Linked DNA regions of Sus scrofa. The protein of the gene in region 2 interacts with the protein of the main gene of each other region in a pairwise test. Links are inferred from orthologs where the notes say so. Each region holds a gene or a part of one and is shown on either strand. Other genes may lie near its edges.

What was found.
Region 1: the proteins of HPGDS (region 2) and ABHD17A interact in binary tests that used the Homo sapiens proteins (3 or more experiments, as listed by UniProt). The two-hybrid records come from large-scale screens. The link is inferred for Sus scrofa from reciprocal best matches to the Homo sapiens genes HPGDS and ABHD17A.

The regions. Positions count from the first base shown.
Region 1 is NC_010444.4:76,661,040-76,664,347, reverse strand, and holds part of ABHD17A (protein ABHD17A), read right to left. Parts: intron 2,772-3,308; 5' UTR 2,567-2,771; coding exon 2,235-2,566; intron 1,207-2,234; coding exon 1,012-1,206; intron 1-1,011. UniProt on the Homo sapiens protein: Hydrolyzes fatty acids from S-acylated cysteine residues in proteins. Has depalmitoylating activity towards NRAS. Has depalmitoylating activity towards DLG4/PSD95. May have depalmitoylating activity towards MAP6.
Region 2 is NC_010450.4:125,382,370-125,386,183, reverse strand, and holds part of HPGDS (hematopoietic prostaglandin D synthase), read right to left. Parts: intron 3,127-3,814; coding exon 2,985-3,126; intron 1-2,984. UniProt on the Homo sapiens protein: Bifunctional enzyme which catalyzes both the conversion of PGH2 to PGD2, a prostaglandin involved in smooth muscle contraction/relaxation and a potent inhibitor of platelet aggregation, and the conjugation of glutathione with a wide range of aryl halides and organic isothiocyanates.

The DNA.
Region 1 (3,308 bases), on a different chromosome or scaffold from region 2:
CCTGGGAACCTCCATATGCTGCGGGTGCAGCCCTAAAAATAAAAAAAGATTCTTCCATCGACTCCCAGACAGTGGGGACAGGCTGAGGCAGCTGAGCGTGGACACATACCTGCACAAACCCACCAGCATGGGTCCCCAGTGTCAGGGCGGTGCCAGGAGACCCTGCTCTCAAGGCCTGCCACAGGGACTGCCTGGTGCATCACTACAGCAACCATGCCCCGTCTCCCCAGGGCAGGCTGGCTCTGGTCCCCGCAGGAGCTGGTTGCCCAAGTCAGCCAGGCAGGCCAAGATGGGGCTATGCCGAGCAGGCAGTGTGTGCCACCTCCGGGAAGTGGGGGTCAGGTGATCTCCCTACAGATCAGAATAGGTGCAGGGCCACACTGCACTATACCCAGGGAGGACCCAACTTCTGCCAGTTGACAATCCCACCAGCTACCAGGGCTGCGCTGGGTAACGAGCTGCCTAAAAGAATCTTCCAGGCCCAGAGGAGCCCCACCCTCAGGATAAGGCCAAGTTCCACAATCAGAAGCCTGAATCAGAGGCCTGGCCCCACCCTGCACCCCAAGTGCTCCCTCAGCCTCGGCCTCCCAGTCCTTTTACACAGCCTTCACACGCCACCGCTGGGCCCAAGTCCTCTGCACACCACTCCCTCCAGGCAGAGCCTCCACCCCCAGAGGGATGCCTCCAGGCCCTGTCCATGCCCCTGCCCAGGCAAGAGGCTCCCAGGAGGGGCCAACCCCAGGGAGGTGAGAGGACAGCCAGCCTGCCTCCCTGCACACCAAGCACGCCTGTCACCATGCAGGGGAACATAGGTCAGGCCTCACCCTGAGGTCCAGTGTGGCCACAGATAGGGTCCCTCTCCTGCAGGGCCACCGACCCAGGCTTCCTCCCTCCCTGGAAGGCAGCCCCAGTGCCAGTATGGGTACCTTCAAACCACCAGTTTCACCCAGTCCAATCACCTGTGAGGAGCCGTGCTGCTTTCCCCCCCGCCCCCCGCGGTGCCATGCTCACCTGGTACGCAGGGCCTGCCAGGCAGCATCAATGTCGGCGTAGAGGTTCTTCTCCGAGGGCTTGCCAGAGCTGACGCCGTAGCCGGAGTAATCATAGGAGAAGATGTTGCAGTTGATGCGCGTGCCCAGGCCGATGTAGAAGCTGCTCATCTGGCCCAGGTCCACTGCATTGCCATGCGAGAAGAGAACCGTATATCTGCGGGTGGGCGGTGGAAGCACAGGTCAGGGGGCAAGGGAGCAGGGGCGGGGGAAGAGGTACCCACCAGGAGAGACAGAAGGGCATCAGGCTTCAGCCCGTGAAAGAAACCACAAGGACCTAGTCAGGTTCTCAGCACAGGTGGAGCGCCAGCACGAGCTCAGGAAGCCACAGTGCCCATCACAGCTAAGATGCCTATGCCCCTGGGCAGCAGCTGCCTCTCCTCTGGAATCATTCCTTTCGAAGGGACTCTGACAGCCCTGAGGAGGGCGGGCACCTATGTCTGCTGCACAAGACAGCAGCTTTCTGTCACCAGGACTGCCCACAAGTGAGGCCAAGCCCTGTTCAGAGGGCTGAAGCTCCCCTCCTAGAGAATGACCACGCCCTCATTTCTGCCTTGGGGCCCAAGGCAGCCCTGCAAGGCCCGCATGCCCAGGGCAGGTAACCAGGCTGGTCCTAGCCGATGGACACTTCCAGAGTCTTCCTCCTCTGGTGCCACTGGCCCCCACCCAGCCGAGCCCAGCCCAGTCCAGCCGAAAGGTAAAAGCCTGCCCTTTGGACTCAATCCAGAGCCAGAACCCGGCTGGTTTGAGGGCAGAAGCACCTGGAAGCCCCCACCTCTGCCCCACAGTAGGAACAGGGAGTCAGACTTGGCCCAAGCTGCCAGCCAGGCTACAGGTGCCCCAGCCTCAAAGCAGGTGCTGAGGCCTCAATGGGGACCAAGAGCCCTGGAGACCATCCCTGGGCAGGTAAAGACTGAAACCCGGAAGCAGGAGGCTCTATGGTGAGCAAATGGCATGACTCAGCCACTAGAAGCCACTTTGCTATGGGGTCTTTTCATCCCAAGACAGGCTGCCTGTGGCAGTTCCTTGGTGGCCAGGGGCGGATCTCATCCACTGCCCCTTGAGCAAGAAAAATCCTGGGGGCATCCACTCCGCCAGATGGGCTCATGCAAGCTCTGGTCCTAGCAGGGCACCAGCCAAAAGGAGATCCCTGAGGACGGAGCATATCCCGGGCCTGGATCTCACCTGGCGCCTGGCACGCAGCGCACGTACATGCAGGAGATGCGGTTGCCGCGGCTGCTCTTGGTCAGGAAGACCTCGATGGTGTCCAGCTCACGCTGGCTGTACTGGAAGTCAGCGCGCTCCATCAGGTGGAGCTTCCAGCGCCCAGGGGTGCCAGCTGAGGCCCGCAGGGTCCCCGAGGGGGCGGCCCCAGCCCCGCCGGGTCCAGGTTCCGGCTCAGGCATCAGCGAATAGGTGGGCTCCGGAGGCAGGAAGGCGAGCTTGGCAGCAATGCGGCCAGGACAGGGCGGGCAGCAAAAGAGGCAGCAGAGCTCGGTCACTGACAGGCCATTCATGGTGGGCACCAGGCCCTGGGGCAGGCCTCACCCGGTGGGGGACGGGAGAGGGTGCTTGGAGACAAGGGCAGGGGGCAGGGCACCCCCCAGCCACCGCCCCAGACAAGAGCCCCGTTAGGAGGCTGCAGCCCAGCCCCATTGCGGTCCAAGCTGAGCCCTCAGGAGCCTCGCAGCCTCGTGTGTCCATGTTGTGCAGAGGGAGAACCTGCAGAGGAACAGAAAGATGTGGGGTCCCTGGGGTACCACTGGGAAGGCAGAACATGTCCCAAGCCCTCAGCTTCCCCACAGTGCAGTCTCTGAAGGCTCCGCCTGCCACCACAGACCTTGGGCCCAGCCTGCCCTCCTTAGGGCACCAAGACCTCCCCAGCAACCCCTTCTGCTAGCTTTCCTCATCATCAGGCACCAATGCCTGCAGGCTGTGCTGGGCCATCAGACCTCCAGGCCACCCAGCTCTCCCCAGCAAAGGCCATGCTCCAGGCTCAGAGAAGCCCTATCACCCCCAAGGTCCCTCTTCATCTGCCACCCCCGGGTGACGCAGCTCAGTCGAGGTGAGGACAGACTGCTGATCAGAGGGACCCTGGAGCAGGCTCCCAGTGCCAGGCCTCATGTCCACAGACAGGAGCCCAGGCGGAGGAAATACAACAAACAAAGGCTCTGCAAACAAAAGCAGGATACATCTCTAGGCTGGGAAGGCCCAGAGCTCAGACAATGGCTCTCTCCTGTGCTCGGGGCCAGGCCTGGG
Region 2 (3,814 bases):
GGGGGTGGTCATACCGAGTTTCAAACTCCAGAGAGCCTTCCTAAGTTGGAAAGAAGTCCAGATAAAATCTGTAATAGAAACTGTTTTCCAACTTCTATTATTAGCTTTTTTAAAATCAAAGTAATAAAATCTTGACTTTTCAGCTAGATCGTCGGTCACCCACAATAAAGTTAATGTTTCCCAGTTTCCTTTGTAGTAACAGATGACCTGTGACTAAATTATTTCCAAAAGAATATAAGCAGAAGTGATGTGTGAAACTTTATGTTTATGCTATTAAAAGGAAGAAAGGTGTTCTTTTTCTCTTTTATGCTTCCTGGGAGCTAGAATATGGAAGGAGAGTGAAGTGGTTACATTGTGTAAATAAGAACGCACTATGGGTGACAGAGGAACAGAAAAGAAGGAACCTCATCTTTGAGAACTTCATGGAACAGAACTGGGATACTGACCTGGGCTTTTCTGCAAAAAAAAAAATAAATAAATTTATATCCTCTTTCAGCCATTTTTGTGTTGGGTGTCTGCTAAAACATTTAACAGCTATTTTAATCATCACTAACCTTAAGATCCCTTTCAACTCCAAGAATCTATGAAAATATTAAGAAAATACAGTAATTGCATTTTAATAACAATACAGTAGGGTATGAGGAATTCAAAGAACTTTTATCTAAAAATATAAAAGGCAGAATTCATTATATGTACTATCTTCACAGCTTGCTACCTATCTTAATTAATGGATAAAATTAATATTCACCTACTTTTGGTTCACAGAATTGAAAAGCTCATGTACACATTCTGGTATCAGAAGAAATGCTTAGATATTAATAGGAAAGTTTCAGAAGAACAGGAAATAAGATATTATATCCCATCAGAGAGGAGTTCTCTGATAAGATAAAGAGTAGTTAAGGGTGATGACTTTTAACGAATTCACGATTCCCAAAGTCATGAGGCAATATTTATTGTTAAAATAATTATCGTTGTTGGCATTATCTAATGCAAACAGTTTGAACCACAGCATCAAATGGACCTGGGTGGAAAAATTAGCTGAACCTTGCTAGGGCTGTGAACCCGGGAAAATTACCTAAACTGTGTGCTTCAGTTATCCCGGCTACACAATAGAAACAATACATCCCACATAGATATGCTAGAAAAATTAAATGAAACGGGGTCTCCAGAGTATCTCCAAGTGCTGTCACTCTACACGTACTCGATAGTTTCCTTCAACCTCATCTTTATGTGAATTTTTAATAATCTAGTCATAAAAATAACTTTAGACATAACATTTAGCATCTCTAGGTAACATGGCAAGCATCTAGAAGATGACTTACAACTTACAGGTGTTTGTTTTGTGAATAATACTTCTTTTTCCTTTTTTTTTTTAAGTGCTTTTTTTCTTTTTCTTTCTTTTTTTTTTTTTTTTTTTTTTTTTGGCAGATCCCAGAGTGCGTGAAGTTCCTGGGCCAGAGATTGAACAGGGATTGAACCCAAGCCACAGCAGTGACAATGCCGGGTCCTTAACCCACTGCGCCACAGAGGAACTCCCTCAGCTGTCCCCCTTTTTTTCTTGTTAGGGCCACACTCGTGGCATATGGAGGTTCCCAGGCGAGGGGCTGAATCAGAGTTGCAGCTGCTGGTCTACACCACAACACCACCAGATCTGAGCAGAGTCTGCAACCTACACCACAGTTCACGGCAACATCAATCCTTAATCCACTGAGCAGGGCCAGGGAGCAAATCCACATCCTCATGGATACTAGTCGGGTTCCTTACACTGAGTCACAATGGAACTCCCTACTGTATAATATTCCTCAATTCTTCCTTATTGTCCTGTGTGCTAAGTAGCTTTTTTTTTTTTTTTTTTTTTTTGTCTTTCTGCTATTTCTTGGGCCGCTCCCGGGGCATATGGAGGTTCCCAGGCTAGGGGTCCAATTGCACCTGTTGCTACCGGCCTACGCCAGAGCCACAGCAACGCGGGGTCCGAGCCGCCTCTGCAACCTACACCACAGCTCGCGGCCAACGCCGGATCGTTAACCCACAGAGCAAGGGCAGGGACCGAACCCGCAACCTCATGGTTCCTAGTGGGATTCGTTAACCACTGCTCCACGATGGGAACTCCGTAGCATGTTTTCACTGGGCTCCTGCCTAACTGTAAATTTGTTTTTTTCTCTGATCAAATAGACCCCAGTTTCAAACAGACCCTAGTTTTGTTCAAGGTATCCATCCCTCTCTCACCCACTCATAAGCTTCATGAAAATTCCTTCCATCCTCGGCTTCAGACTTGGATTCGATGTCCTAAGGTTCTTGCCACCTCCTTGCAAGATTGGCTCAGAAATGAACACATGACCCAACTTGAGCCAGTGAGACACGAGCGGTTTGCTGAGGTCTTCTGGGAAAGTTTCTCCTCATTCCTCTGGCAGCACTTAGGTATGCAGTGCTTTCTCTTATAGCCGCTCCGTATTGCTGCTCCACGCTGTAAGGAGGGGTTGCAGCAACATATTGCTACTGGCTGCATGGTGCAGTCAACACACAGAGGAGGAAAAATGGATAAAGTCAGCGGTTGAAACCTGGCCTACTTCCAGATTTCCAGTTATGTGATACAACTCATTTCTTTGTTATTTAAGCCATTGGAGCTTCGTTTTCTGTTAGAGCAGCTTATCAGATCCATTGTACAAACGTTATTGATATCTGAGCAAGCCCATCTAATTCCAGTGGTCAAAAGTTTGACCTCAGTATCTCTCCATTTCAGCTCTTCTGATAGAGAGCTTCGTGTTGGGTAATTTTTAGATGCTCCTTCTGTCAGGTTTGAGTTTTCACCTCAAATAGGACGTTTCCTGAGTCACATAGCATTTATTTAACTCATCTGAACTGATGCTTCTCAATGTAAAGCTACATGAGATTTGAAAACATTTTTCTTTTTCCTGAGGAAGACAAAAGGTTCTGGAAACATTTTACCTACATGCATTTCCATGCACTATTTTTATGCTACTTACTTGGCTTGATTTGGGGCCAATCAGCTTGTTCTATTCTGTGGTCTTCATACTTTATGTCCAAATATGCAAATATATAACGAATAATTTCTGCTCTCCCCCTCATATTAAAATAAGTGAGTTTGTAGTTTGGCATGGTGTGATTCTAGAAAGAGAAAAATAGAGGGATTATTTTAACAGCCCTCTAGAGATGTTTCCACATTTTTCTTGGCAGACTTTTTGAAAACTTTATGGCATCTTCTGAGATAACCGGAGGTATTAGAGAATATTTCAAAACCAGAATTATAAATCACTAGCCTAATAACACACGGGGAAGACTTGAGAGAAATAAGAGCATCACTGTCTCCCTTTAAAAACCAGCTGGAACATTCCTGTGAAATAACCAAAGTCAAGCTTTATTTATAAAAGGATATCAGAGTAAAGTAAAAGGATTTCGGAGTAAGAGGGTATCTATATGCCAACCTGCAGAGGAGAAAGTCAAAAATTTTCCATTTTAAGATATTTTTGTCCTGCCTTCAGCCAGTTGTAATGAGTGGTGGTTGACATTTGGTTTGCTGTTTGCTTTGGTGACACAGCTGAGTGTGTGAGGACAGCTGGGTAAGGATTGCAAGGGCAGGGTACATGTAAGAGGCATGTGAACCGGCCATGTCAACCTGTCATCCCCTCTCTTTCCTTCTCTGCTGCTTTTCCCCTTAGGCGTCAAGGGCTTGGGAAATTTTTGCTCGCTTCTCTTGTGCTACATCCATGCTCCAAAGAATTTATTGGGTTGCGTGTACCATACAAACATACCCCTTCGTGGGGACATCTGCTGGGATGGGACAATGGTGAGCATC